Linked DNA regions of Elephas maximus indicus. The protein of the gene in region 4 interacts with the protein of the main gene of each other region in a pairwise test. Links are inferred from orthologs where the notes say so. Each region holds a gene or a part of one and is shown on either strand. Other genes may lie near its edges.

Region 1 (7,975 bases), on a different chromosome or scaffold from region 4:
GGCAAGAACGTGGACCAAACCAAAAAACCAAACCCAGTGCCGTCGAGTCGATTCTGACTTGTCGCGACTCTATAGGACAGAGTAGAACTGCCCTGCAGAGTTTCCAAGGAGCGCCTGGAGGATTTGAACTGCCAACCCTTTGGTTAGCAGCTGTAGCACTTAACCACTATGCCACCAGGGTTGTGGAGCAACTGGAAATTATACATTGCTGGTGAGAATATAAAATATATCCACCTTGAAAAGCAATTTAGTAGTTTAATGTAAAGTTAAACATACACTTGCTACGTGACTCAGCAATTCTACTCTTAAGTATTTACCAAGAGAAATTAAAACATGTCCACACAAAGACTCGTAAATAAATGTTTATAACGGCATTATTCATATAGCTAAAAACTGAAAACAACCCAAATGTCTATCAGCAAGTGACTGGATAAACAAAGTGATACATGTGTTTACGGAATTCTACTCGGCAGTGAACAGGAGCAAACCACTGGAACCTGAGAACTGAGATCCATGGAGAATCTCAAAAGCAATATGTGATTGAAAGAAGACAGATACAAAAGAGAACATACAATATGATTGCATCATGTGAAATTCTAGATAAGACAAAGCTAATCTACGATGACAAAAAGCAGATCAGTGGTTATCTAAAGCCAGGGGTGGGAGGCGTTGGCTGCAACAGGACATAAGGGAACTTTTTGGGGCAATGAAAATGTTCTGTATCTTGATTGAGGAGGTAGTTACACTGGTGTGCATATTTGTTAAAACTCATCAAACTGTACATTTATAAAGGTTGCATTTTATTGTATGAAAATTATACCACAATAAAGTTGATAAGAGATTTGGGAACATGTACAGGAATTTTTATAACAACATTACTTTAACAGCAATGAATTAGAAAATTGGTCATTAACAGAAGAATGTTTCAGCTCTGTGTGACCCTCTGCCATCAGAATGGCAAACATTTGGAAGGAGATGTAGCAGATGCAGATAACACCCCTCCCATGTCCCCTCAGCCTTTACCAGGACCGGCATCTCTTCCTGGAGGTTCTCTCTGGTGGCTGGATCCCTCTCTGCCCAGGCATTGACACGGCCTGGGAGTAGCCATTAGCCACTGTCTGACAGGAGTTGGTGTGTAAATGTCTTAGTTACCTCATCTATCAGGTAGGATAACTCTCAAGTGGTAGAGTACACTGTCTCCCAGAGTTCCCCAGCAGGACTGAGCTCCAGTTGCCCACACTGGTAACTTGCTTGATGTTATTGTTAGTTGCCACTGAGTTGGTTCCAATTTATGATGGCTCACTTGATAATGCTTCCTTAATTGGTTTCCTTCCCTTCCTTATCTCACTCACGTCTCTACCAGTGTTATCTGTGTCTCCAAAAAAACAGCTACTTTCACTTGAATCCTTGTCTAAGGTTTGGTTCTGGGGAATTCATATTAAGACCAGGGGGTGATACCAAAAGTTGATGAAGTTAATGGGGAAATTGTTGGAGAGAAATTGGGTGGCAGCCATTCTGCAAGTATCTATCATTTTTGGCAAAAGCAAGTCTTAAAACTTTTCACACAGGTCCACTAGGGGATGTATGTAAGGATGCCTAGTGTGGCATTGTTTATGTTAGTGAAAAGTTGGGTGCAATCTAGGTGTCCATGACTAGGGAAATGGATAAATAAAATGTGGAGGATGTAAACAATGATTACATGGTAGTTAGAAGCAGTGAACAACCAGTACCTCCAGCAACGTGGCTAGATATTAACAGCACAGTGATAGAGTGAAAAAAGTATGAAATTTATAAGTACGATTCAAGTAAATTAAACACACACTTAAAACATTTCCTACTTTTTTTTTTTAAAGTATATACATATATTTAAGCACATATACCAAACACATAAGAGCAGAGGCATTGTCTTTCTTGTTCATTGTTGTGAGCTCTTAGGGGACATTTGGCAATGTCTGGAGACATTTTTGGCTCTCACAACTGGGGGATGTGTGTGCTACTGGCATCTAGTGTGTTGTTCTTAGTTGCCAGTTGCCAGTTGCCATCAAGTCGGCTTCCACTCACAACAACCTTATGTATAAGAGAAGGAAACGTTGCCTGGTCCTGCACCATCTTCATGATCATTGGTATGTTTGAGTCCATTGTTTTGGCTAATGAGTCAATCCATCTCATTCAGGGTTTCCCTCATTTCAGCTGACTCTCTGCTTTACCAGGTTTCACTGGCTAAATCTTTTCAGAAGTAGACTGCCAGGTCCTTCTTCCTAGTCTGTCTTAGTCTGGAAACTCAGCTTAAACCTGTCCACCATGGGTGACCTTACTAATATTTGAATACCAGTGGCATAGCTTCCAGCATCACAGCAACACGCAAGGCCCCACGGTATGACAAACTAACAGACACTTTACCAGGACGGCGAGACTATGTCTCACATGCTTTGGACATGTTGTCAGAAGGGATCAGTCCCTGGAGGAGGACATCATGCTTGGTTAAGTAGAGGGTCAGTGAAAAAGGGGAAGACCCTCAATGAGATGGATTGACACAGTGGCTGCAACAATGGGCTTAAGCATAACGATTGAGAGGATGGCGGGGGATAGAGCAATGTTTTGTTCTGTTGTGCATAGAATCACTATGAGTCGGAACCAACTTGACAGCACCTAACAACAACTGCTTTACCAACCGTGATGTCTTTTTCTAGCAATTGGTCTTTCCCGATGATGTGTCCAGAATAAAGAAGCCAAAGTCTCCTTTGCTCCCAAGGAGCATTCTGGTTGTATTTCTTCTAAGACTAATTTGTTGTTTTTCCAACAATATTCTTCACCAACGTCACAATTTGAATGCATTCACTCTTCCGTCTTCCTTTTTCATTGTTCAGCTTTTGCATGCATATGAGGCGGTCAAAAAGACCTCATATATTTGGGTCAAGTGCACCTTAGTCCTCAAAGTGACATCTTCGCTTATTAACACTTTAAAGAGATCTTTCGCAGCAGATTTGCCCCATGCAATTTGTCCTTTGATTTCTTGACTGCTGCCTCCATGGGTGTTGATTGTTCATGCAAGTACACAGGTGGTGGATCTAGGGGGTAGAGGTCAGGAACGCTGCTGAAAAGCCTGCAATTCACAGGATTAGCCCCCTTTCAAGAAAAATTTTAAGTCCAAAAGTCCAGAGTACCGAGTATGAGAAGCTTGACTTATCCCAGCGCTCAGCACAGTGTCCTACACAGTACTGCTGAATGAATGAATGAATGAATGAATGAATGAATGAATGAATGAATGAATAAGAGACAACGGTAGCCAGAGCTGGCTTGTGGCTGTGGAAGAGAGAGACACAGTACATTTTAAAGTTGTGTCTGGTAGAATTTAGGGTGACAGTTCCTCTCTTTTCCAGGGGCAGATGGGTTGTGCTCTTCTCCAGCGCTGAGCCGGATCCCATCCAGTCACCCTTCTGCCTCCTGTCCACCCTTCTCAATTTGGGAAGCTGTCTGTGTTGCCAGGAAATGGGCAGGAACCAGCCAAGGGCAGTTTTGCGGGCGCAGAGCTTTGCATGGCGTTTGACTAGGGCAGGGCCTGTGGACGGGAAACCACTGACCACAGAAGGGCCGGGAAGGCCAGGGATGCAGCGTGGGAGAGGCGCCTGGGCTAAAAGGCGGGTGGATGGGGAGACCCAGAGGTGGCGAGGACTTCGGGATCCCCAGAGAAGGAACTTAAAGCAGAGGAGGGTGGAGTACCAGGTTAGACTCCTGTGGGATGAAGGGAGATGGGGAAACTAGGTTAGAATCTTGAGGAGGGAGGGCAACCGAGTTAGGTTCTTTAGGGAGTTGGTGGACAAGGGAGGGATTAGAATTGGGGGGGGGGCAGGTTAGGACCCTGCTGGGAGAGACAAGGTGGGGGTTAGGACCCTTCAGGACTAAGTTGGAGTCTTTGAAAAGAGGGATTCGAATCCTTTGATAGGTGGAGTTAGAATCCCGGGGGGGGGGGCGGATTAGAACCTTCGGGTGAGCAGGGTTAGAGTCCTGAGGGGGAGGTTAAAATCCTTCTGGAACAAACGCGGGAATCACTCAGGAGTGGGATTAGAATTCCTAGGGTTAGAGCTATAAATCTTGAGAACCTGGTTAGAATCATTGGAAGAACCAGAAACCCACTGCCGTAGAGTGGATTCCGACTCATAGGGTTTCCAAGGCTGTAAACCTTTAGGATGCAGGCTGCCACATCTTACTTCCTCGGAGCGGCTGGTGGTTTCGAGCCGCCGACCTTTGGGTTAGCAGTGGATCGCTTTAACCACTGTGCCACCAGGGCTCCTTTAGAACTAATAAAAAATTAGAGGAGTTAAAATCCCTGGGGGCAGGATTAGAAATCTATGGTGGGCGAGGCTAAAAATCCTTTAGAAGTGGAATCGAAAATCCTCTGCGGTCACAGTTACGATCTTAGGAGGAGGGGGCCGGGTTAGGGTTCTCTGGAGGGCGGGTTAGAAGCCCTAGGGGCAAGGTTTGGAATCCTTCGGGGACTGGATTAGGCTCCTTCCGAGGCGAGGTTAGAGTATATTAGGGGCGGTGTCACGATACGGGGAGGAGGAGATGGGGGCTAGCTTCTTTGAGGGACGGGTTAAAATCCTTGGGGCGGGGTGAGGACCTTTGACGGCTGTGTTAAAAGCCTCCAGTGGGCGGAGTTAAAAATCCCGGCTCCTGGGAGGAGTGCACCCAGGGTAGGCTCCCCAGGGAAAGGGTTAGAATTCTTGGGGTGGGGTTAGAATTTGGGGGAAGGGGTCAGGCTCCTTTGGGGAGGGGTTAACACCGGCGGGGCGGGGCTAAAGTACCTCTGGCCTGTGGGCGCCCGCGAGTCCCCGGTTCCAGCCCCCCGGCTCCGCCCAGGCTCAGAGGCGAGTGGGAGGGGACCGAGCCGGTTCAGCTGGAGAAAAGTCCGAGAAGGCCCGCGGCTCCGAAGCCCCTGGGAGCCGCGCCCCAGTATTTTCTTCTCGAAAGTCACTCCGTTTTCCTCCAGGCTCGGGCGCCCCGGAACCCCGGGGGCTGCTAAGCTGGGGGGGCGCCCGAGCTGCGAGAATCCGGGCTGCCCGCGAGACGAGGAGCGGGCACCCAGGTGAGTGTCGCGGACAGGCCGGTGGCGGGGGGATAGCACCTGGCCGGTGAGCTCGGGGTCCTCGGGCGGCGGAGGGAGCCCGGGGTCTTGGGCAGGGCTGCCTGTGGGTGCAGCCAGTCGGAGGGGCGGGAGCAGAGCGCGTCCGGGGAGCCGCGGACAGGCGGTGGGATAGAGGACCAACGGGGACAGGTGGGTGCCCAGGTCAAGGAGGAACTGCCATGGCCCAGCTGGGAGCCTGGGTAGCCCAAAGGGAGGGCTGAGTGACTTTGTGCTCGAGTGCCACTTCTCTTGCCGTCCAGGTTCCCCTTCTGCAAAAAAAAAAAAGAGAAGGAAGGGATGCGGCTCCCATGAGCAGACGGGAGGGGAGGGCCTTTCAGGTTTTCAGTGGGGGAGGATGACAAGTCACAGCGGGCTGGCAGCTGGTCGAGATCCCCTCCGGCCCAGGCCGGAGCGGGAAGGGGGCAGCTGGGTGGGGGCGTGACCTATGAGCCACACCCAGGCGGGGTAGCAGCTGGGCCAACTCCTTGAGCTCCCTTTCCCTGCCGGTCTTGGCCGGGACCCCCAAGAGGTCTGAGTCAAACCCCAAAACCTCTTGGGGAGACCACAGGATGTTATGAGACCTTGGGCAAGTCACTTCATTTCTCTGAATCCCAGTTTCCTTATTGGTAAAACAGGGCTATTAATTCCTTCCTCAACTGCTACAGTGAGCTAGAGTTTGTGAGAGGTTGTGTACGTGAGGTTGTTGCCTCTTAAAAAGAGACCGTTTAGTGTAGTGGTTAAGGGAGAGGACTCGGGTAGGGGATTTGGCCTTTCTGTGCCTGGGTTTCCTGGGAATAAAAATAATAATACCTCCATCACAGAGTTGTTTAGAGGATTAAATTGAGTTACTTAGGGGAAAGCTCTTAGAGACCGCCTGATAGGTATACATGCTTAATTTGTTGCCATAGCTTCAGAGTCCCTGGGTGATGCAAATGATTAACCGGCTCCAGATAACAGAAAGGATGCAAGTTCAAGTCCACCCAGAGGCACCTCAGAAGAAAGGCCTGGCAATCTACTTCTGGGGGAGAAAAAATCAGTCATCGAAAACCCCACGTAGCACAGTTCTCTGACACACATGGGGTTGCCATGAGTTGGAATGAACTTGGCAACTAGTGGCTGGATTGTCGTAGCTATTAAGGTCTAACCCAGTGGTTCTCAAATTTAGCAATACATCAGCATCACCTGGAGGGCTTGTTAAAACACAGATTGCTGGGCCCCAGCCCCAGAGTTTGTGATTTAGTAGTCTGGGGCAGGGCCCCAGAGAATTTGCAGTCTCAAACGATGCTGGTGCTGCTGGTTCCGGGATCACACTTTGAGAACCACTGACCTAATGTATGGCTGGTGCAGAGAAAGGTCTTAATAGATATCAGTTCCCTTATCCCACAGCTTTCTTGTCACTATCCCTTATTGGGGAAGTGGAGATTTTTAAAAATACAGAAAAGCAAAGAGACTAATACACTAAATATCCCAGGAACCCAATACCAGGAATTAACAAATGTTAGCATTTTGTCATGCTTACTTCCGAGTTTTTTTTTTAATGAAATTACTAAAAGTAACATGAAATCGAACCCCTCGCCCATATCCCTCCCAGTCTTGTTTCTCTCCCTCCTGAGTCTACCACTGTCATAAATTACAGCCCTTCCAGTCCATGTTTTTATAAATTTACTGCATATATATGTAATGCATCAATAAACAACACACAGAATTGTTTTCTTTCTTGACATCTACATAAATATTACCTAACTGTAAGAGTCTTCTGCAATTTCTTTCTTTCTTTTTTTCCTTCACATCATTAAGCTGTCAGAGTCTACCCATGACGAGAAATAATGGTCCCTTCATTCCTTTTAACTGCAGAGGAGTGTCCCAGTGAGTGACCACCCACATTGTTTCTCTTTTCCCTGTTGGTGGACCTTCAGGTTGTTCCCAGGTATTCACTGCTATAAAAGATGCTGCGGGGACCATCCTTTTCTTTCTTTCTTTTTAAAATTGTGCCTTAGATGAAAGGTTACAGCTCGAGTTAATTTCTCATTCAAAAATTTATAAACATATTATTTTATGACATTGGTTGCAGTCCCCCCAATGGGACAGCATGCTGTTCCTTTCTACCTCGCCTTCCCTGTGTCCATTGGTCCAGTTCCTGTCCCTTCCTGCCTTCTCATCTTGCCTTTGGGCAGGAGGTGCCCATTTGGTCTCATATATCTGATTGCACTAAGGAGCATATTCTCACTTGGGTTATTGTTTGTTTTATAGGCCTGTCTAATCTTTGCCAGAAAAGCGAGATTTAAGAGTGCTTTGGCTCTGAGTTAGCAGAGTGTCCAGGGGCCATAGCCTCGGGGTTCCTGCAGGTATTACTTGAGGGCAATGCCAAGGGGCTGATGGCTTCCCTGAAGGGGCCCCTCTCTCCCTCCCCTTGGGGAGAGGACAGGTAGGCCTGGAAGGGTCAACCAGGGAGTCTGGGGCAGAAACGAGAGAAGAATCTGGTTCTGCTGACCTCCCAGGTCTCACATTTTCACTGCACAAGGTCAAGAATCCTCATCCACCTTGTTCACTGTGCCTGGCATTTAGTAGATGCTTGAAAACTGGAAGCATACCTCTACCGTCAGCCCAAAAAACTGATGTCTGAGGGCCCTTGCCCCAGCGGGTGAGGAGAAGGGTGTCTGTGCTCAGAGAACTGGCAGCCAGGGCTTGGAATTAATTCTTCTAGAAAGAAAATTTCTCGGGGGCATGGACATGTCTGCCTTGTAAACCACTGTGTCCCTAACACCTGACTCATGGTTGTTGTTGTGTGCCATGGGTCAATTTTGACTCCTAGCGCTCATTAGGCCCTCAAAATATATTGAATGGACAAAC
Region 2 (7,991 bases), on a different chromosome or scaffold from region 4:
GAATCTGCTGGCCTGTGGGGCGCTGGCTGCAGGCGTAGAAAGCCTCATTGAAGACCTTATCAGGCGGTATTTTATGACTAGGGGTCTCTGGCCTTGTGCGCAAGGCCCTTCTCAGCTCCCAGAAGGCGGCCCGACCCCTGCGACTAAGCGCTCTAGGCTGTGTGTTCTACTGGCGCCTGGGTTTGGAAAGGTCATGGTGCAGGGCCGCGGAGATATCTGATGTTCTGGGCTGCGTGTGCACAGCGGTGCATGGGAGATCCTCACCCACTCCAGGCTGCCCCCCATCCGGGCACCCATGCTACAGCCCAGAGCACACTCCGGCTGTTTAAACAGTAATCGAGGTTGGTAGTCGTGGCATCTTTGTTCTTTTGGCGGGGACGTGTCTTGGATTGATTGCAGACCCCAGGCTGACACACGCTTGTTCCGAGGCCATTTTACAGCTTGGTTTCCAGGCATGGCATCCCCATGGAGGGGAGAATTGGAGGGGTGTCCACAGTAGACTGCCTGTCTCCATCCTGCTAAGAGGAGGCACAGACTTACAGTTGGTCTTCCAAGTGTTGTGTGGTGCTGAGCTCTGTGTTCTCCCCTTGCTTCCTGGAAAACCAGATCAGAGGGATATTGGAGGCAGGGCCCCCCACACTGCATTGTTTGAGGGAGGGGTTAGGTATGGAAAAAGGGGTGGGTATGGGGCCAGGGGCCACAAGTTAGAGTTGCAGCTCTCCTCTAAATCACTCAGAGACCTTGGGCCTGTCTGTGCCTCAGTTTCCTCATCTACCAAAGTGTCCATGAATGGCTGTGGCTGTCCGACTCTTCAACCAGTTCGATGCCACCAACATTTGCTGAGCAGCTCCTCTGGGCCTGAAGACCAGGGCTGAGTTGCCACAGTTCCAGTCTTCTAAGTCCTGGTCCCTGAAACCATAGTTACGGTTTTAAATAATCAAAGGTGATGGAGAGTGATTCATGGCATAGGGATTTCATCTGATAGGAGTCTTGAAGAGTGAGCAGAGGTTCACCAGGTGGGCAGGTGTGGGAAAGGCATTCTAGGCAGCACAAACGAGATTTACAGAGGCATGGAAGCAGGGAATGATATGGTTGTTTGGGAAACTATAAGTGGTTATGCTGAGGCTGAGCTGTGAAGGGCCTTCTAGGGTCTGCTTACCTCACAGGGTTGCCAGGAAATGCCTTGGAGTTAGAAGACCTGAGTTCAAATCCCAACATCTATTTTTTGGGTGGCTCACTGAACTGGAATTTCCTGCTTTATCAAATAAGCGGGATAATACCTGCCTTACGAGGTTGGAATGAGACATAAATAAGTACATGGTTAAAAACTACCTGGTATACACCAGGTGCTCAATGTGGGTTTATTAAATCTGTAGAAAATGAAATTGTACTTTCACTTAAAGCACAATAAAGTTTTTTTTTTTTTTTAATTAAATTGTAGTCTGAATATAACAAACATTGGTGCCTACCACAGGTCAGGTCTTTCCATGGCATCTCATTTAATCCTCATACTCCCTTTTTACAGAGGGGAATACTGAGGCCCAGGGAGAGGAGGTTGCTTGTTCAAGAGCACTCAGGTGACAGGATATGGAGCAGGGATTAGAATGGAGGGGGTTGAGCTCCAAATCTTTATTTTTTCCAGGCTTTCCTTCAACAGACAAACCACCTGCCCCTTTTCCTCCTCCCTTCTTCATGGCGGATACTGCTCACAGCCTCCTGGTTCCCATTCTCCAATCCTGCTCTGGTAATAGATCCCATTTGTAGCTGGGCACGTTATCGGTCAGTCCAAAGCCTACATTTCCTGGCCTCCCTTGCAGCTAGATATGGCCATGGGGCTAGGTTGTAGCCAACGAGGCATAAGTAGAAGCATCATGGGGAACCTCCAGAAGTCTCCTTAAAAGGAAAGAGACACATCTTGCAAATAAATGTTTAATTTTAAAAAAAGGAAAGGGAGGGAGGTGTCATCTTCCTACCTTCCTCCTACCTGCTAGCTGAATTAAGACAAAATGGCTAGAGCAGCCATCCTGAGTCATGTGGTGCTATGTTGGTAGGACAGCAAAATGATGAGTCACCATCCCAGCCCTGGGCTCGCTCCCACCCCTACCCTCTATCTTCTGAATCAACTCTTCTGTATTAAGCCTTCCCTTCAGCGTTCAAACAGACTCAAGTTTAGGTCCTTCCAAACTAAAAGAAAACCTTCTCTCAATCCCACATCCCCTTCCATGTTCCCTTTTCTGTCTCTTCCTTGTCACAGTTCACCAACTGGGAAGAACCACCTACTCTTAGGTCTCCATGTCTCCATTTTCCAGCCATCTCTCAACTCACTGGATTTAGGCTTCTGTCCTACATCCTGAGGAGCCCTGGTGGTGCAGTGGTTAAGTGCTCAACTACTAATCAAGAGGTGTGCAGTTCAAACCCATCAGCTACTCTGCACAGGAGAAAGATGGGGCAGTCTACTTCTGTAAAGATTTACAGCCTTAGAAACTCTATGGGGCAGTTCTACTCTGTCCTACAGGGTGACTATGAGTTGAAAAAACCTGACAGCAGTGACGGTTTTTTTTTAGGTCCTACATCCTACCTGAACTGCCTGGGCCAAAGGCCTCTGGACCACTAACTCTAATGGGCTTTCTTCTGCTCTCTTCTAACTAGAGCTCTCACAAGCATCTCACGCTGTTGCCCACACCCTCCTTAGACACTCCTCACCATGTCTTTGCCTCTGCTCTGAGCTCCAGTCCCCTCTATCCAACAATTGACTTCTCTACTTACATGTCTCAAAAACACCTCTAACTCAATGAGTTCAAATAGAACTCATTCATGGTCATTCCCTTCTCACTCCCCCAAACCTAGATGCTCTTGCCAGAAATATGGGAGATATCTTTGACACATTTCTTCCCATCACCACCCACAACTACTCCATCATCAAGCCCTGACAATTTCATCTCCTAAATAAAATCCACCCACTGCCATCAGCCATTTCGAACCACTAACATCTCTTGCCTAGAGCTATTACAATATTCCCCTAACTGGCCTTTCTGCCTCCTTCCAATCTCCCTAAAAATATGTCTTGTAGGCAGTAGTCAAGGGGATCTTTCTACCAATAGAATCATGTCACTGGCTTGCTCAGAAGTCAGCAACTACGTCCTGGGGATGAGAAGTCAAACTCCTGCCTGGGGCCTGCATGCCCAGAGGCTGCCCCTTCACCCCCACCACATCACCTCACTCCTCCTCCACCTCTGCTCTAGTCACACCAGCCTTCTGGCAGTTTCTTGGGCCCACGCGCTCTCTCTTTCCTTGGTCTTTGCACTAGCTGTCCCCTCTGTCTGGCCAGCCCTTCCCTGTTAGCAGTTAACACCTGTTCAGATCTCAGCCCAAGCATGGCTTCCACAGACCGGGTCCTTGCCCCACACTCCCACGGCACTATCCATAAACATCTCCTTCCTAGTACTTAACACCATTTGAAGTAACTTATGTATAAAAATGTTGTCCTCTCCAATTAAAATGTTAGCTTTGATGGCCTGTTTTGCTTGCTGTGTTATGCCCTGTGCCCACTATAATGCCAGGCATGATCACTCAAGGAGTATTTGTTGAGTGAATGAATGAACATGTACCCCCTGTTCCAGCTATTGTGTTCAGGTTGTTGTTGTTAGCTGTGGTCGGTCCAGTTGGCCCTGACTCATGGCGATCCCACGTACAATGGAAAAAAAGCCCACGTGGTTGTGCACGATCCCCACGGTCAGTTGTGAATCAGACCATTGTGATCCATAGGGCTTTAATCGGCTGATTTTTGGAAGTAGTTCACCAGGCTTTTCTTCCTAGCCTGTCAGCTCCGCTGAAACCTGTTCAGCATCACAGCAACATGCAAAGCTCCCATGACAGATGGGTGGTGTTTGTGCGTAAAATGCAGATGGGTTCTCCTGCGTGAAAGGCGAGAATTCTACCACTAAACCACCAGTGCCTCAGGAGGAGGCTTATAACAGTTACAAACAAGCATTTTAAAGGAAGATTTAAAAGGTAATGCAATAAGAAGTTACACTATGGAGATCATAAAAGCCAAAGGATGCTTGTGACTTTGGATAAAATTCCCAAAGGCACCAGTTGTTGTTAGTTGCCATCCTGTTGGTTCCCACTCCTGGAGACCCCATGTGTGCGAAGTAGAACTGCTCCATAGGGCTTTCAAGGCTGTGACCTCTCGGAAGCAGATCGCTAGTTGTTTCTTTTGAGGTGCCTCTGAGTGGGTTCGAACCACCAACTTTTTGGCTAGTAGTGTGCGTTTAGCCATTTGCACCACCCAAGGACTCCAAAGGGGGTATACTACATGGATTCACAAAATACGGGGACCCTAATCCAGGGATTTAGAAGTTTCATTTGAAAGGTACCCCTGAGAAAGTGCGCAAATAGAGACGGGTGAGAGGCAATCATATAAGGATGGGAGGGCGGTTTGTAAAATGTAGGGGTACAATAAAGCCTTCTTTTAAATTTCCCCCGGAGGGAAAAAAGTAGGAAAGCAAGTGCGCCTGCGCACACGGTCCGCCACGGCCCTAACTGACAACGGCCGTAGGGTGGCGCTGGGCGCATGCTCCCTGGCAATGCAGTCGTCCTCGCCTCCTTCAGGCCGCTCTAGCCGCTCTTCTCGCCTGCTCTGCCGGGAGGCGGGAGCGCCCGCGGGGGTCCCTCCAAGATGGCGGCGCAGAGGAGGAGTCTGCTGCAGAGTGTGAGGAACCGACCCGGTCTCTGGGCTGGGGGTAGGGGGTCCGGGGACGCCTGTTTGGTCCAGGAGCGACTCCCTCTCCGCTTTTGGACCTCCTTCCTCTCCCGGGCGGGGTGTGGCCGCTTCCCTCCCCTCTCCCGCGGCCGACCCCCTCATTCCCGGGGCAGGGGGCGCGCACTGGAGGTTCGGTCCTGCGCGTCCCGCGCGTGCGTCCTGCCCGGCCGGCGGCTGGGGTCACGGCCTTCCCGGTCAGAGCGCCTGCGGCCCCGGGGCTCCTCACTGCATTGCCGGCGCTCCCGGCCGGGCGTCGACGGTGGGACCGTTCTCGGAGCCGGCGGGGAGTGAGGCGCGCGGCAGCGGAAGGAGCCCGGGTTGTGAGCCCACCCGCCGCTCGGGGTAGTCGTGCAATAGTAGTAATAATCCTGGCAGCATCACTCATATACCGTTCACTACGTCCCAGGCATTGTGCTCATTGCGTTATGTTAGTAAATTTAATTTTCTTAGTACACCGATAAGGTACTATTTTTAGACCTGTTTTACAGTTGAGGAAACTGCGGCACAGAGAGGTGGTCATTTGCCCGAGGCCACACAGCTGGTCAGTGGCAGAGGCAGGAATCGAATCTGCGGTCTGAGTCCAGAAAAAGAAAAACCAAACCCATTGCCGTCGAGTCGAATCTGACCATAGCTACCCTGTAGGACAGAGTAGAACTGCCTCATGGAGTTTCCAAGGAGCACCTGGTGGATTCGAACTGCCGACCTTTGGGAAACCCTCTTAAACTCTAGGCTATAATGAAGGCATGACTGAGATAGTGGCCACCTGAGTTCTGGTCGTGACTCTGACTTACTGTGCCTCCTTCAGCTTCAGTTTCCTTATCTGTAAGCAGAGAGCAGAGCAGACCTGGAGTGGGAGGATTGTCCTGAGATCCCCCCTCTCCTGCAGCCTGGACACTCCTGGGTTTGGTGGTGATGTTGCCCTCCAGCCCCGGGCATCCTCCTGAGATGCATGTTCACAGATGCATATGTGCTCACATTGGCAACACAGGCTTATTCCCACCTGCCAGGACTGGGAAGCATCCTCTGGGTCCTGTCCAGTGTCCTAGGGTAAAATCACCACAAAGTTATAGTAGAGCAAGGAGAAAGACTTTATTTGGCATATGTTCCAAGAGGCAAAAGTAGGAAACGGACAAGCACGCTGCCAGAACCACGTCTGCCCGAGTCCAAGGAATGTTACAGAATCATCAGTATATATTAACATTAACATTACAGTGGGTAAAATCATTAAAAGTTTCACATTTTCACACATTGACTAAAAACTGCTAAATCACCATGATTCTGCATTTTGAATTGACTTTCTTAATAGCTACTGGTACAAATTTCGGTAATGACAGGAGGGTCTTCACTGGTCCAACAAATGTTACTGTTTGTTAAATGCTAATAGAAAAAGTAAGAGTGGAAAATGGGTGGGTCTTTTGTGCTCCGAATATGTAAAAGAGTCACTAAAAGATGTTTTTCAAGGTTGTTCTAGCTATTTTTTTTGTACCTCAAGGCCCAGTTGATGTGTCCTTCTGAGTCCAATTCATCTGGGCCACATTCTTTGTACTCAAGGACAGGGAATAATGGCTCCAATTTTAACTCCTAAGTTACGGGTCATGGATTGTTAGCTGTTGTTGGGTTAGCCCTCTACTCATGGCAGCCCCTGCACAGTGGTTTCGCTGCCCAGTCCTGCACCATCCTGTGATCGGTTGTTGATCGGACTGTTGTGATCCATAGGATTTTTATTGGCAGATTTTCAGAAGTAGATCACCAGGCCCTTTTCCTTAGTCTGTTTTAGTCTGGAAGCTCCACTGAAACCCGTTCGGCATCCTAACAACACGTAAGCCTTTTTCGACAGATGAGTGATAGTTGCACACGGGGTGCATTGGGTGGGAATCGAACCAGGTCCCCGGCGTGGAAGGCAGGATTCTACCACTGAACCACCACTTTCCCCATTGCCCTAGTTATGGCATTCTCGTAGTTGCCTGTGGACCTCTCTGGGTCCCATACTGGAAAGTGAACTCCTTGAAGATGGGGACTTGGGACCCCTTGCTTACTTTTGTTACAGCATCTACACTATTGTGTGCCGGGTACTCAATAAAAATTGGTGAAAAAATGAGTAAAGCATTTGTAGCCTGGCCCATTGCTTAGCCTTGGCCTTACGGATATGCAGCAGACATTGGCCCTCCTGCCATTGAGGGTCTTGAAGCATGGGGATTTGGGTGTGAGGGTGACCTTCACTGTTGCATGTTAATGGCAGGCTTTGTGTAGATTCTCTGGAAGCAGAGCCTTGTTCCAGATTGCTCCCTGGTGGGGACAGCTCTCTTCCCCTCCACACCAGAGGGCACTGGCTGCCCCTTTATTTTACTAAGGAGCCCTGGTGGTACAGTGGTTAAGCATTCAGCTGGTATCTGAAAGGTTGGCGGTTTCAACCCACTAGCGACTCTGCAGTGAGAAAGAGATAGCAGTCTCTTCTGTAAAGATTACAGCTTTGGAAACCCCATGGGGCAGTTCTGCTCTGTCCTATAGGGTTCTATGACTTAGAAACAACTTGATGGCAATGGGTTTTATTTTACTGCTGCTCAAGTCTGGCTTGTTGAGAAGTTGGTTGGGTATGGCTGGTACCCTCTGCTTTGTGAGCTCCTGGAGGGCAGTCCCCATTGTAGTAAGCATTCCGGAAACGCTTACTACCTGGATTATGATGTTGAGAGAGTGGCTGTGGAAGTGATAAGTGCTACAGGTAGACTTGTCTTGTTGAAGAGAGAGCGGCTGCCTGGGTTGTGCAGAGGGTGGGTGGCTCCCTTCTAGGCGTGATGGAGCCCAAGGAACTTGGGTTAGATAAAAGGTGAGCTTCACTAGCTCTCGTATGTGTTCTTGAGGGTAGTTGTGGAATCTTTCCTTGTACTTTTTAAAGATTGGATAAAGTTAGCTTTAAATACATATGTATTTAAAGACAGAGGCCATACAAGGCCCCTTCCTGCGACTTTCTCTAGTGATGATCTGGACATCCGTGCTCCGCAGAGGAGAGGGGCAGGCAGTGAGCAGGGCTGGCTGACCTGCCCTCCGTTGCTGAGTCTGGTGAGAGCAGCTGAAACGCCTTCATTCAGCAGATGGTCATGAGGGCTGCTGTCTGCGGTTCCTGGGCCTGAGGATATGAAGGTGACGATGTCCCCACCTTCACTGCACTGGCAGTCCAGCTTGGGAGAAGGAGCCGTGTGCCTCTTTCACAATGTGTTAGGCACGCTGGCGT
Region 3 (7,228 bases), on a different chromosome or scaffold from region 4:
GCACACTGAATTCAGACACTGTCATCGATTGACTTGTGTCCCCCCAAAATATGTGTCAACTTGGTTAGACCATGATTCCCAGTATTGTGTGTGTCCTCCATTTTGTGAATTTTCTATGTGTTATAAATCATAATCTCTGCCTGTCATTAAAGAGGATTAGGGTGGGAGGTAACACCGTTGCTCAGGACACATCCCTGATCCAATGTAAAGGGAAATTCCCTGGGGCATGGCCTGGTCATCTTTTATCTTACAAGAGATATTTAAAAAAAGGAAAGGGAGCCAAGCAGAGAGTTGGAGACCTCATACCACCAAGAAAGCTGTGCCGGGAGCAGAGCACATCCTTTGGACCCGGGGTTCCTGTGCAGAGAAGCTCCTAGTCCAGGGAAAGACTGATGACAAGGACCTCCCTCCAGAGTCGACAGAGAAAGCCTTTCCTTGGAGCCGATCCCCTGAATTCGGACTTGTAGCCTACTAGACTGTGAGAGAATAAATTTCTCTTTATTAAAGCCATCCATTTGTGGTATTTCTGGTATAGCAGCACTAGATGATTAAGGCAGACATCTAGCCTCCTAAACTGTGAGAAAATAAATTTCTCTTTGTTAAAGCCACCCATTTGTGGTATTTCTGTTATCTAGCACTAGATAACTAGGACACAACCTAAGTGCCTGTCTTAGGCTGGGTTCTCTAGAGAAGCAAAACCAGTAAAGCGTATAAATATATAGAGAGAAATTTATACCAAGGAAATGGCTCATGCGGTTGTAGAGGCTGGAATGTCCCAAGCCCATGGGTCAGGATATAGGCTTCTCCTGATTCACGTAGCTGCAGGGGCTGGTGAACCCAAGACTGACAGGTCAGAGAGCAGGGCTCTTGCATACGGGCTGTGAAGATCAATGAATCCCAAGATCAGCAGGCAAGACCGCAGGTAAGCTGCTAGCTCAAGTCCTGAGAACCAGAGGTCAGATGAACAGGAGCCAGCTGAAGGATCCAGCACAAGCGAAAAGCCCCCGAGGCTTGCCAGAATGTCCACTTATATTAGATGCAGGTCATATCCCCAAGGAAACTCCCTTTCAACTGAATGGCTACTCACAGCAGATCCCATCATGGGAATGATCACATATCAAATCTCAACATGGAAGTGATCACATTATACGACTGCCAAAACAGAGAATCATGCCCAAGCTGACATACGATCTTAACCATCATAGCGCCTATCAACAGACGAATGGATAAGCAAAATGTGGTACATACAGGGCTTCAAACTGGTTCGTTTTGGTTCAAACCTCTGCTAAGAAATTGCATTTTCACCCCACACATACTGGATCAGAATCTACATTTTAACAAATCCCCCGGTGATTCTTATATATAATAAATTTTGAGAACCACTGCTATACTAGTGGTTCTCAGAATTGGTCCCTAACTAGCAGTATTATCATCACCTGGGGACTTGTTAGAAATGCATATTCTCAGCAAGAGTTCATACCTGAACAAACCAGTTCCAAGCCCTAGGTACATACACACAATGACTACTATGCAACCATAAAGAACAATGATGAGTCCAGGATGGATGTATCTGGAGGACACAATTCTAAGTGAAATACGTCAATCACATAAGGACAAATATTGTGTGATCCCACTCTCATAAAACGACCAGGATAGATATATATATATATACAGAGACCAACGTTTATTAGTGGTTTCCAGGGGTGGGGGGCTCACACTCTAGATCCTAGATACTTGTTATTTTGGTGATGGGAAAAGTAACACTGAATGGGTGTAATGAGCACTACTTGATTAAAGTAAATGATGTCACTAAGAAACATGCAAGAGAAAAAGATGTTTGTGCTGAAGAAAATGACATCTTATTTTTGCAATACCAACAATAACCAAAAAAATGAGTGGATGGTCACATACGTATACATATAGGCATATAGATATACAAATACACAAATAGGTACAAGTATATATATATGTACACACAGAGAGAAGTATCTATAAGCATAGATATGTGTGTGCAGGCACATATATTCATAGAAGACACAATTCCAGATACTTCTCAGACATAACCAAACACCTTGAGAGATTGGTTGTCTAGGTCTGAAGGCTTAGGACCTTAGTCTCATGGGACAACTCAGTCAATTGGTATAATATAGCTCACGAAGTTCATGTTTGGCATCCTAGTGAAGTGAGTAGTGTCTGGGGTGTTAAAAGCTTGCGAGCGGCCATCTAAGATACAACTATTGGTCTCTACTCGTCAGGAGCAGAAGAGTAAGAGGGAAACCAAATTCTCAGAGAAGAAACTAGTTTACAGGGCTAACAGACCATTCTAATCAGGGCCACAATAGATGAACCCTGACTGAATGGGAGAAAAATGTGGGACAGAACTCAAATTCTTAAAAAGTCCAAACTTACTGGACCAATTGAGGCTACAGGACTCCCTGAGACTATCACCCTGAGATACTCTTTAAACCTTGAAGCGAAACTATCCCCTTAGGTCACCTTTTAGCAAAATAACAGAGTAGCACACAAAAGAAAGGACACTACCCATGAATGTGGTGCTCCATTAAAGAACCATCTATAGGACACCAAAAGATCAACAATTACCCTGAAGCAAAAATGAGAAGGGGGCACGGACACTAGGGTACTCGACACAGAGCAACCATAATGGAATTAAAGAGAATGTTACAAGTTGTGAAAAATGTAATTAATATCACCGAACGATCTGCATAGAAATTGTCAAATGGGAACCTGATTTGCTGTGTAAACTTCCAGAAAAATACTATAAAATATTATTAAAAACAAAAACCCTATGGGGTAGTTCTAATCTGTCACATAGGGTCGCTGAGAGTTGAAATTGACTGAGGGCATCCAAAAGTATGAGCTAGCCATTGTTTCACATGCTTTACAAATATGAACTTGTTTAATTCTCTTAACAGTCTTTAAGTAGGTACTATTATTTTTATTATCATCAACTCCATTTTACAGATGATGAAACTGAGGCAGAGAGAGGTGAGGTAACTTCCTCAAGGTGACAGAGCTCCTACATGGTGGAGCAGGGATTTGAAGCCTGGCAGTCTGGTAGTTAAAAAAAAAAATCCATGCTTTTAACTATTACATTACGCTGCACCATTACAGAAATTTTGGGAAATACACAGAAGCATACACGACAATCTCTACTAGCACCACTGGTCACATTTTGCTGCACAACCTGCCTGTACTTTGTATGCATATATAATACTCTATTTTTTTTTCAATTGAAACAGTCTCTACCTTCATCTGTAAGCTTCCTTAAGGACATTTCTCGTATCTGTACGGACAGCCTTACAATCATTTTAAGTGGCGCATAACGTTCTTTTGTACGGCTGAGACATTATCTATTTAAACAGTGCTCTACGAGGGACACTTAAGACTGCTTCCAATTTTTCACTGTTAGAGAGTTCCGCAAGAGGCTGAGGAGGTGATACACGTTTTAAAAAAAAAAAAAAAACTACCTTTTGAACCCAATCAGCTACAGCTGCAAAATAAATTTCTTTTTTTTAAGAAACCGCAAGAAAGTGCACGCTTTTCGGTGGGAAAATGGGCTACCTCCGCGACGCTTCCGGCTTTTCTTTCGTCTGGTGACTCCACAGGATTGGAGGCACCAGGCGCTTAAAGAAACGCACAAGCCCCCTGACCCCTACTACGCAGGCGTGGAGAAAACAGGCCGGGGCGGGGGTGGGGGGCGCTTGGAAGCTCCCGCAAATACCAAAACCAAACCAACCCAATGTCGTGGAGCCGATTGGGGTGTTGTGCAACAGGAACAAAAAATTAAAAAGGAGGGATTTCCTGCCTCAAGTCTACTTTTGGCTCCGCCTCTCTAAGCTTCTTATTGGTCAGATATCTTCAGCCCCATTGGTCCGAGGGCCAAAGGTCTGGGTCTGCCCTAGGATATGCCTGCTTTCGGAGCCGCGGTAAGAACGGCTAATTGAGATGCCCCTTTCAGGCGTTGTTTAGGACGTGTCCATGGGGCCGGAAGGGGCTTTGTACAGCAACGGAAGCAGCTGCGAATTCTCCGGCAAGTTTCGAAGATGCCGCCCAAAGGAAAAAGCAGTGCTGGAAAAGGAGGAAAAGGTAGAGCTGCCAGAAAAAGGGAGAATGGGGACGTGGGAGGAGCGAGGGGAGGGAGCATACAGGCGACCCCCGGAGTCTAGGACAAAGACAGCGCGTGGCAGCGGTCCCACAGAGCTGCCTAGGTCCGCAATAAAAAGTACATATTTATTATGTTTCTTGAAGTTCCTTTTAATGCTTGCAGAATGTCATCCCTACCATGGGGGAAAGACTCGTTTATCCATTGAACAGAAATGTGTCAGGTACAGTGCTAAGTGCTGAGGTTGTAAAAATAAGATATCGTGCTCTTAAGGAGGTCGGGAAGTAATGGGGAAGATAGAAACCGTAAAGCACTGTGCTAGATGCAGTGTTGAGAAATGTGTATGGGATATTACGGAAACTGAGGAAGTGTTTCATCTAGCTTGAGGAACAGGGAAGACTTCCTGGAGCTGAGTTAGGCAGGTCAAGATGGGCAGCAGGTCTAGCAGGAAAAGCACTGAGGTGAGGAACAATATGGTATGTGCAGCACAGTGTTGCTGGACCAAAAACTCAGGACTGAATGGTGAGTAGTGAGAATGAAGACAGAGGGCAAATCCTGGAGAGTGCTATGTATGATGCTAAAAAGGTTGGTTATGTGCTAAGAAGGGTCAGGGAGACCTGCAAGGAGATTTTTATCGTAGTCCTTGATGAGATATGATGGTGACTTGAACCAAGGTAGTGGCTGTGGGAATGGAGAGGAGAGAACAGATTCTATAAATACATACAATATGAAATATGCAGGACTTGGTGATTTATTGGATTGGGAACAGGGGAAGGATCAAGGATAGTTCTCAGTTTTTAGGTCTCAGTTTCTAACTTGATGTTGGTGTTGCAGACTAAAATGAAGAATATATGAGCAGGAATGAGGAGGTTGGTGAGTTCACATTTAGATATATTGAACTTGAAGTGTTTGTGGGACGTATAAGTGGAGATGTAGTCAGGAGGTGGTTGGATATTTGAGTCTGAAGTTTGAGGGAGAGATCTAGGTGGCACATATATATTTAGGAGTGATTAGCATATAGATGGATCCTAGATTTGGAGGTTTAGGGTCATGGTTTCATAGGACATCCCAGTTAATTGGCCTAATAACGTTTTCAGTGTTTCTGTTCAACCTCCTAGTTTGTTGCATAGTGACTGGGGTCTTAAAAGCAGCCATTCAAGGCACAACACTTGGTCTCTCTTCACTTGGAGCAACAGAGAAAGAAAGAGAGTAATAGTAGGAGGAAATAGAACGTATGGCTAATTGCCTCCATGAAAAACTGCCTCCTTTGCCATGAGACCAGAAGAACTGGATGGTGCCTGGCTACCACTACAGAACATTTTGATCAAAGGTTCTATAGAAGAATCCTGATCAAAAGGGGGAAGATGCAGAACAGAATTTCAAATTCTCGTAGAATCCAAACATTCTGGAGCCATTGAGGCTGGGTGAACCCCTGAAACTATTGCCCTGAGAGAATCTGTAACCCAAAAATATACCCTGAAGTTGTCTTAAAACCAAGCAGTAGTTTCGCTTAACTAGTAAAGAACCATCTGCCTTGAACATTGTACTCTTTTAACATCTATCTATAAGGGATCAAATTGACAACAGAAACTTGAAAGATTAGATAGGAAACTTAGGGAGCAGTGAGTTTATGTTAATGGGGAAGGAACAACTCAGAAAAGGAGGGTGAGAATGGTTGCACAATTTGAAGAATGTAATCAGTGTCACTGAATTGTACACGTAGAAATTGTTGGTGTATGTTCTGATGTGTGTATTCTCAACAGCAACAAAAATAAAGTAAAATATGTATATATATTTTAAGAACCTATATAGATGTATCCATGAGAGTGTATGAGATTATCCATGGAGAGCTTAAAGAATAAGAAGAGCAGAGGGCAGAGGATGTGATCCTGGGGCAGGTAGAGAAAGAGGCAGACAGATACAGGGAGTGAAAAAAAAAAAAACAACCCACTGCCGTCGAGTCAATTCTGACTCATAGTGACCCTATAGGACAGAGTGGAACTGCCCCATAGGGTTTCCAAGGAGTGCCTGGTAGGTTTGAACCGCTGACCATTTGGTTAGCAGCCATAGCTCTTAACCACTACGCCACCAGGGCTTCCACAGGGAGTGCAGTAGCTAGGTATTCCAGAGGTCAGAAAGACCAGAAGGTTTCAAGAAAAGAGGGCATAGCCTATCAAGCACAGCAAAGAGGTCAATAAAATGATGACTGAAAAAAGCACTGTTTAGATTTGGGAATTAGAGGCGGCCTTTTTTTTTTTTTTTTTTTTTTTAGGCCAAGAGTGGTTTCATTGGAATGAGGAAGGCAGAAGCCAGATTGCAGTGACTAGAGGACTGACAGTAGTGGTAAAATGGAGACAATCAGTGTGGACTACCTGTGAAAGTTTTAATTCAAAAAAGCATGGAAATTGAATGGTAGTTAGAGGAGGATAAAGGATTAAGAAGTTTTGTTTCTTCAGAATGGGGAAAACTTGGAAGTGAAGCTGAGGTGAAGGAGGCAGAGCAGTTGACCTTTGAGTAGAAGGGACATTTTGTGCTTGGGGTCACAAAGAAAGAGGCAAGGATCAGTGTGGTTGTAAAAATGGGGCCAGCAAGGGGGAAGGAGCTGAGCTTGTAGGAGATCATGCATAATCGCCTCAATTTCTTGATAAAGTCTAAGGGAAGGATATTTCTTAAGAAACAGGGACTGAGTAGGGATCCTGAGGAGAGTGGTAGAGATTTGGAATAGTCATTGAGAATAATGGGAGAGGGAGCGACAGAAACACAAGTAAAAGGATTGCTCTCAGGGCTGAGAGCCTTACTGAAATTGAAGACACTAATTTGTAGAAGATGTGATCTGCATAGTGATGATTTACCATGACAAGCAGGATTTACCATGAAATTGGCAGGATATAGAATTGAAAAGAGCTAGATGCAGCCTTGAGCCAGGGTTGAGGTTTTGTTGGGTGATTATAATAGAAGGGTAGCAACGCAAGGGAGTTAAGGGTACCACTGGGTATGCAGTTCAGATGATGTAGCATGGGGTCCTGCCTGGGAATGGAGGGAGAAGTCTGATGGTCTGGGAGAACATAGCAGGATTAAGGGACTGGGGAGGAACGTTTCAGTGAA
Region 4 (7,984 bases):
AGGCCACCTGTACACATTTTTCTCTTTATACATGCAGCAATTTCAGGAGGATGAATTGTCTTCATTATCTGAATTTTGGAAGAAAATTAACTGTAGAACCTTCACTAGATATCTACCTTTCCTGAAATGAGAATTTTACTAAAAAATAAATAAAAATAAAGATTCACTCATCTCTGTAATCAGTCTGGAAGTGAACGTCTCACACCGCTTTATAAGCAGACTTCATCCTCATGGCTTTTCTCTGAAGAAACAGTAGCAAAAACAAGCGAATATTTCTCCCAAAGAGGTCTTCTTTGGTGGTGGTGTTAGCTGCTGTCCAGTCAGCCCCCGACTCAGGGAGATCCTGAGCACAGTGGACCTGATGGGCTGCAGATCAGACTGTTGTGATCCATAGGGTTAGAGTGCCAGACCTTTTTTCCTAGTTCATCTTAGTCTGGAAGCTCCACCGAAACCAGTCTGGCATCCTAGCTATTCGCCAGCCTCCACTGACAGATGGGTGGTGGCTGCACATGAGATGTACAGGACAAGAATCAAACTCAGGTGTCCAGCATAAAAGACAAGCATTCCACCACCGAACCACCAATGCCTCAGACCCAGGGAGTCCTAGAAGCTCAGAAATAAAGCAAGGCCTCTGTACTCCAAGTATATGGACAAATGATTTTTCATTGCACTCCTCCAAACATTCTTCCCTCAAACCACCCATTCCTATCCCTACCTCTGCTGCTTTTTAAAAAAGACTTAAAATTTTTTTTTACAGTAATTTTAGGTTTACAGAAAAATTGCACAGAAAGTACAGTACAGAGTTCCTCTATATCTTCCCTCAAGCCCCTGCACACAGTTTCTCCTATTACCAACATCATGAATTGGTTTGGTACATTTGTTACAATCGATGAAGCAATATCAAAACCTTGTTAGTAACAATGTATCAGTGGTCCATAGTTTACATTAGGGTTCACCCATTGTGTTACAGAGTTCCCTGGGTTTTGACGAATGTCATGTATCCACCATTACAGTATCATTTGTAATGTAAGTGTGGATAAAGCCTTTTCATGGGATCCTCTCTTTCTACACCAAGCTTTATCCGAGTTTGTTTTTAAATGGTGATAGCACATGGCCTCCTGGTTGATGGGGTTACTTCAAATATTGCGGCCAACATCGGTGACATGGAGGTTATGACTGCTACTGTGCTACTTGGGTGATGGCTTCAGTAGAGACTGGAGTGAGGAAATGTGAACACTCACCATCAATGCAGAAACTCAGGGAAGATTCAGCTGGCTGAAGATCAGTGTGCCCTGGACATGCAGACACAAGCAATCTTTGGTTTGACCTTGTTCTGCATCTCACTCTATCTCTTAGGAAAGCTGTAGCCTAAGCTGCAACTGCTACCCCAGAAACAACCAAAGCCCTAGCAAACAATGAAATAAAAAAGAGAATGGGGCTGCTGCCACTGGAATGTCTGAATCCTGTATTTGGGGCTCTGGTGACACAGCGGTTAGGTGTTTGGCTGCTAACCAAAAGGCTGGCAACTCAAATCCACCAGCTGCTCCTTGGAAACCTTATGGAGTAGTTGTACTCTGTCCTGTAGGGTCACTATGAGTCAGAATTGACATGACGACAACGCGTTTAGTTTTTTTTTTTTCCCTAGTCCCAGAAGAATGTTTTGATATGAAGTATGATGTTTATGAAGAATACGCAAAATAGAATGATGATGTTTTGTTGAGGATTTTTGCCTGTGGAAACTTAATTTTCAGACCGAGATATTTCAAAACAAAAAAGGCAAAACCAAAACTATGACTGTTCTTTTGACTAAGCTGTAAAAGTAGAGAGCTCACTTTAAGTTTTCAACATCATGTACCAATAATTATTGGTAATAATAATTAATTAACCTTTCAGGGACTTTGCTTATTAGGACAGGCATCTATTTGCTTGACTGTACATTATCCATATTGATGACTTCCTCTAATAAGTGGAATACTTTGAGATATTTTCCATGGGTAGCATTCTTGCTGTGTCCCTAGTTAATCCTGAAAGCATCTTAGGATATAACAGCATTTTCCTGCAGATATAACCAATCTGAGATTTTTTTTTTCCTCTGACCTTCATCATTTAACTCTGAAATCATGGATTTGGGTTCACTATGAATACAGCCCTACCATGCACGAGCCATTACAGTAGGTGCTGTATATCCTTTTCTCACTTCAATGCAAGAGCAATGCTGACAGAGAGATATCATTATCTCCACCATAAACCCAAACAAATCGCCATTGAGTCGATTCCGATCTCATGGCAACCCCGTGGTGTGTCGGAGTAGAAATGTGCTCCATAGGGTTTTTAATGGCTGGTTTTGCAGAAGCAGATTTCCAGGCCTTTCTTCCAAGGCACTTCTAGGTGAACTCAAAGCTCCAAACTTTCAGTTATTAGCTGAGCACAGGAACCACGTGCATCACCTGGGGACGCCATCCCCACCATACAAGTGAGGAAAGTGAGGATGGAAAACTGACCCAAGACTCAGTGTTTACTGTTTATAGCTGAGCTATCAACATCAGCCTGTCTGATCGCAAAACATCTCTGCCTCAGCATCCTGCCTCCCAGAATTACTAACCTCAAAATTGAGTTCTGTAATTTCACCTCTAGCTGAATGTATTTTTTATTTTTAAGTTTGGGAATGTCTATGTGAAAGAAAAATTTTGTGTTCTTTTGTTTTGTTTTTACTGCATCATTTTCAGGCTTAAGAATCACATGCATATCAGTCTTTGTTCCAGTTTATTTGAAAGGAAGGGAAACTGTGCAACTAACTTTGGGGACAGCCAGAACAGCGTGGCATTTAAGGAGTTGTCCTAAGCAGGTGCTCTCGTCTCTAAACCCACAGCATCATGGGTTACAGGAGAGAAGCAGCATGAGCTCCACCACCAGCATACCAGGAAGGAAGAATCTGTACACTTAGTTTGCTAATATTAATCTAAGAATCAAAGCTTCTGAACTGCCCTCTTTGTAACGTAGTGAACAGAACCTGACAGTGAAAAGCAATGCCTTTGCAATATGCTGAAGATGATTTGTTACGATGAGTGATCAACTAATCTACTTATAGAAATCTTGGCTTTATACTTTGTTTCCTTAGAACCAAGGTTTGTCAGGTGCAGGCTGACTGTTCTCCTTAGCACGAATTCGATACTACCTCCTACTACCTCCTAGCCCTGTCTCTCCTCTGCTGACGCCAACTTGCCAGAGCATGCTTCACACAAAATCTTTCTTTGTATTAAAAAAAAAAAAAAAAGCACTGCAAAAGTCTGGAAAGTATAGGAGGCAAGACAATGTCACAGCAATATGACCAGAGAACTAATTCTCCAGTTACCAACTCTCTGAGTTTTAAGACAGGGCTTGTAATTTTCAGAAGCCAAACTAGATTGTGGTTATTTACAAATGTTCCTTATACTTATGAGATGAGAACAACTCCTGCTGAGAAGCAAAAGTCTCTCCAAATTGAGGGAAAAGCGCTCAATTGCAAAAAAGAAGCAAGAAAGGACTACAGCATAACCTATAGGGTAACTTCTCCAGACGCCCACGGCCCAAGGAGACATTTTTAGTGCCTTATACAGTTATCTCATCTGCACTGTATCCCCCCTCCCTAGGTTGTTTTATATATACCAAAAATCAAACCCGTTGCCGTTGAGCCAATTCCAACTCATAGCGACCCTGTTGGGCCAAGCAGAATTGCCCCATAGGGTTTCCAAGGTGCGCCTGGTGGATTCGAACTGCCGATCTTTGGTTAGCAGCTGTAGCACGTAATCACTACGCCACCCAAACCAAAAACCAAACCCAGTGCCATCGAGTTGATTCCGACTCATAGTGACCCTACAGGACCCAGTAAAACTGCCCCACAGAGTTTCCAAGGAGCGCCTGGTGGATTCGAACTGCCGGCCTTTTGGTTAGCAGTTAACCGCTATGCCACCAGGGTTTCCACTATGCCACCAGGGTTTCCTAAATATATATATAGATGTAGGTATATAGATATATCATAAAATTTGCTACTTAACCATTTTTAAGTGCAAAAGTCAATGGCATTCATTATATTCACAATGCTGTGCATCCATCACCATTATTTGCCTTGAATTTTTTTTTCATCATCCCAAACAGAAACTCAGTACCCTTTCAGCAATAACTCCTCATCCCCCTTCTGCCTCCCCTAAAGAGAGATCTATTTAGGTCTCTATGCATTTGCCTATTCTAGATATTTCATATAAGCAGGATCATATTTGTCCTTTTGTGTCTGACTTGTAGAATGTTCTCAAGGTTCATTCGTGTGTGGGACATATCAGGACTTCATTTCTGTTCATGGTGAAATCCCATTCCATGGTGTGGATTACCACATTTTGTTTATGCTTTCAGCTGTTGATGGATGCTTGAGTTGTTTCCACCTTCTGGCTATTGGGAATAGCGTTACAGTGTACAAGTATCTGGTTGCGTCCCTGTTTTCATTGCTTTTGGGTATACACCCAGGAGTGGAATTGCTGCACATTGTGTTTTAATCATGTAGTCATTAAGAGGAAAATTACGTTAGAAACAGTATGTAACTTTCTGGAATAGTTCATCTTTTTCATAACAGGGAGAGACGCCAAGAATCCCTGAGCTAGAAAGGAAGGCTGGAGCAAAAAGGTCTTAGCAGCAGAGGGTAGTCTGGGAATGACAGAGGCCATATGACTCAGATTTGTTTAGTAAAAGAAATTCCACTTACTGTACTGTTCCTCAGTGCCTTCAGCACTGCTGTCTGTATCAAAAGCCTGTGGGTACAAAGGTGACGTGAAAAACAAAAACACGCTCACTTTTCTCTTGGGGAACAATGCTGCATGTCCCCTAATTCCCCCAACACCGTCTGGTCTCTATCTTGCTCTGCTGACCTCCTCTCTGGCTTTATTCATAGACCTCTCCTTGGCCAGAGTTAACATGTTTGCGGTATGATTCACTGTGCCATGATTCCAGGCTCTTTTCTGTCCCTTTTGCAGCAGGAACCTTTTAATGAATATTCTCAAAAATGGGAAACAGGCTGTCAGTCTTTAATGACTTTCCTGTTCTTGCTTTATATGTGTCATCTTAAAATACAACTGATCTTTTTAAGGATACAAATGTGTTTGTTATCACCCAGACAGTTCTAGTGAGTAAATTACTCTTCCGGAATAATAAATGAGAGGCTTTTGAAAGTGCATTAACTGTTTAGATTCACCCAGCTCCGATCAACTGCTCAGGGAATTTCCACCCGGCTCGTGAGTCACCAGCAAAGGTTGCTGGTCCACTCCTCTCCTCCTTAGGGAGTGATTTAATAAGTCCATCTAAGTGTTTACACATTAAAATCCAGAGTGCAGCAAGAATCTCCAGTCACAGTAAGAAATTCCAGAGTTACATTTCTGAGAAAGTAGCAAGAAAATTCCGAATCTAACCCTCCCATTTATCAAGGAACCAAAAAATGTCCTCTTCCAGATACTTCACACTGACTTCTGTATGCCCCGAGAGTGCTTATTTGAAGAGATATGCCTTCTAATTTAATTACATTTTATCTGGAGCATGATGCATAGTTGAACCTTTCCATGGGGATGCAAGTGGTCACGCTGACCAGCAATACTGAGCCACATCAACCTCTTGGGCTACTGGTCAGCGAAACCAAACCAGGTGCCGCTGAGTTGATTCCGACTCATAACGGCCCCATGTATAGCTGAGTATAACTGCCCCATAGGGTTTTCTTGGCTGTAATTTTTTTATTCAAGCAGATCATCAGGCCTTATCTTCCACAGCACCGCTGGGTGGGTTTGAACTGCCAACTTTTCAATTAGCAGTCGAGCGCAAACCATTCACGCCACCCAGGGACCTCTTGGGCAATTGGTACACGGGGGTTATTCGCACTTCTGAGCTGGTGATGCTGTGTGTATCTGGTTAGTTTCAAGACGGCTGCATCTCAGAAAAGGGAGAATAACTTCTGCGTTTGCTGATGGTAAAATACTTTGAGAGGATCTCATGGGAAGGGAACTTTTTCCATAACTGTAGGTTTAGCATTTGCTTAAAAAATAATTTTTTTGTTCATTACAGCTCCTCCCCCACACCTGGTCTTTTAATCTTAAACACACACGCCACCCCTCCACAATTCTACTGCCGTCCAGGGAATACTGTATCGTTCCAATCGCATCAGCACATATGGTTCCATCTCAATTATGGACCAAAGTAAACTAAAGGCCTGGAACTTAATGACTTCACCAGGGAAGAGGTTTCAAACAAGATCAAGGAGGAAGCGTGGGGGAGAGAAAATCTGCCAAACAGCAGAAAGGGATGGAAATGAGAGGAGGAATCGTGGCCAGTTGAAGGAGGCCAGCTTGCTTGCTTCCGGGCATAGATTTCTTAATTTTTCTTATTGTTTGAAACTTGACCCCTTCTGCTCTTTCCATTGGACCTTAAGTGAAGAGAAGGGAGATGCAACGTGGTGTCTGAGGAGCAAAGAGACTTTGGCAGCTTACAGGGCTGGGTTTGTGGTTTGGCTCGGTGAGTTTGGAGAAATTACTCAACTTCTCTGATCCTTGTTTCCTTACCTTTAAAAAAGGAGCCAAGATGCCTCTCTTTTTTGTTAATTTTAAGCACTAAAATGAGGCAATGATGGGCATAACGGGCAGTTCTGGGCATGAGCCAAGCATTCACCACGGGGTTGGATTCATATTGTATAAGCAAGAAAGGGTTCCATAAAGTTTGGGCTAAAAGCACATTTTCAAGTTGAGCAAAGCATTCCATTTTAAGTAGCTCTTCAAAGATGCCCCAAGACAGTCTCTGACATTTCCAAAGAAATTCTCTTGGGAAAGCAAAACAGGCAACTGGAATGCAGAACCACCACCACCACCACCTCCGTGGTAAAAATGCTAACAATGAATATGCAGCAATATGTGGTTGGCTCTGCCTGCTTCTCAGATATGATCCTACAGGCATGAATGCAATGAGAGCAAATACAACGAAATCATACTTAGAAACCTATGCACACCTTTTCATGCAGATAAGCAGTGAAGAAAGAGAAAAAATATGTTCATTCAAGCAATAGGTAATAAATGATAATTTATTTAATTGAATTGAATTTTTCTGCAAAGTATTTCTAGGCTGTGGTTTTACTCTAAGGGTTAAGAAAGGGGGTACGTGGGCTGTGGAATCCTGAATTTCTCTACTGTTCAATTTTTTCATGCCTGTGTATTATTCCAATTTTAATTTCTATGCTGCTAAAGCAAAAACTCCTGGGCCACAAATGCAAGTGATAAAGCTGCTGCTGTGAGTTGAAAATCCACTCTCCGTCACCCAACGCCAACAATCTACCCAAATCACCTGCTACTTCTTTAAAGTCTAATTTTCATACAGAAATAAAGTTTTCTTTTTCTAGAAAGTCTGCTGGGGCTTGGGTTGAGACCATGTTCTAGACAAGTTCTCTCCTTCTCCATCTCTCTTACCTCTCTACCCAGGACTTCTTCCTAAGTACTATCTGCAGGGCTCTCTTGTTCTTAAAGGCTAGATTTCTTACTTTTCACTTATCTCCCCAGGACCAAGTTCCCCTTCTGTTTATTGTAATTTTATTTCCTTCTGCACTGCCCCAAACTTCCCTGGAACCGAGATTAGAGTTCCATCAACCTGGACAATTAGATTTCCCTTGAATTCCACCCTATCATAGGAAGTGAGCAATAAACACTTGATCTTCTGATGAAGAGTCAGTAGGAGCCATTGTCCCCAACGATCTCACCCATTGAGTGCCACTGGGTTTTGTGGTGCTTAAATAGGTTTTGTTTTTTGGATGCTGTATAAATTAAGTCCATCAAGTTACAAACTGCCTAGTTGGGTAAGTAGATTAGATCATAGTAGATCAGAGTTTGTCTACTTTTATTATTTTTTTTTCTTGCAGTCTGTGGCTAAGTTCCATTTGCCTTGGTTCCAAAAATCCACATATGGAAGATGAAGTTTCACACAGATATGTTTA

The links.
Region 1: the proteins of EGFR (region 4) and HCK interact in binary tests that used the Homo sapiens proteins (3 or more experiments, as listed by UniProt). The link is inferred for Elephas maximus indicus from reciprocal best matches to the Homo sapiens genes EGFR and HCK.
Region 2: the proteins of EGFR (region 4) and TAB1 interact in binary tests that used the Homo sapiens proteins (3 or more experiments, as listed by UniProt). The link is inferred for Elephas maximus indicus from reciprocal best matches to the Homo sapiens genes EGFR and TAB1.
Region 3: the proteins of EGFR (region 4) and PIN4 interact in a protein complementation assay, tested with the Homo sapiens proteins (2 studies listed by BioGRID and IntAct). The link is inferred for Elephas maximus indicus from reciprocal best matches to the Homo sapiens genes EGFR and PIN4.

What each region holds. Positions count from the first base shown.
Region 1 is NC_064843.1:37,418,286-37,426,260, reverse strand, and holds the start of HCK (tyrosine-protein kinase HCK), read left to right. Parts: upstream 1-4,826; 5' UTR 4,827-5,086; intron 5,087-7,975. UniProt on the Homo sapiens protein: Non-receptor tyrosine-protein kinase found in hematopoietic cells that transmits signals from cell surface receptors and plays an important role in the regulation of innate immune responses, including neutrophil, monocyte, macrophage and mast cell functions, phagocytosis, cell survival and proliferation, cell adhesion and migration.
Region 2 is NC_064822.1:183,333,642-183,341,632, forward strand, and holds the start of TAB1 (TGF-beta-activated kinase 1 and MAP3K7-binding protein 1), read left to right. Parts: upstream 1-4,655; 5' UTR 4,656-4,678; coding exon 4,679-4,711; intron 4,712-7,991. UniProt on the Homo sapiens protein: Key adapter protein that plays an essential role in JNK and NF-kappa-B activation and proinflammatory cytokines production in response to stimulation with TLRs and cytokines.
Region 3 is NC_064846.1:97,314,562-97,321,789, reverse strand, and holds the start of PIN4 (peptidyl-prolyl cis-trans isomerase NIMA-interacting 4), read left to right. Parts: upstream 1-3,972; 5' UTR 3,973-4,064; coding exon 4,065-4,107; intron 4,108-7,228.
Region 4 is NC_064826.1:107,230,602-107,238,585, forward strand, and holds the start of EGFR (epidermal growth factor receptor), read right to left. Parts: upstream 3,176-7,984; 5' UTR 1-3,175. UniProt on the Homo sapiens protein: Receptor tyrosine kinase binding ligands of the EGF family and activating several signaling cascades to convert extracellular cues into appropriate cellular responses.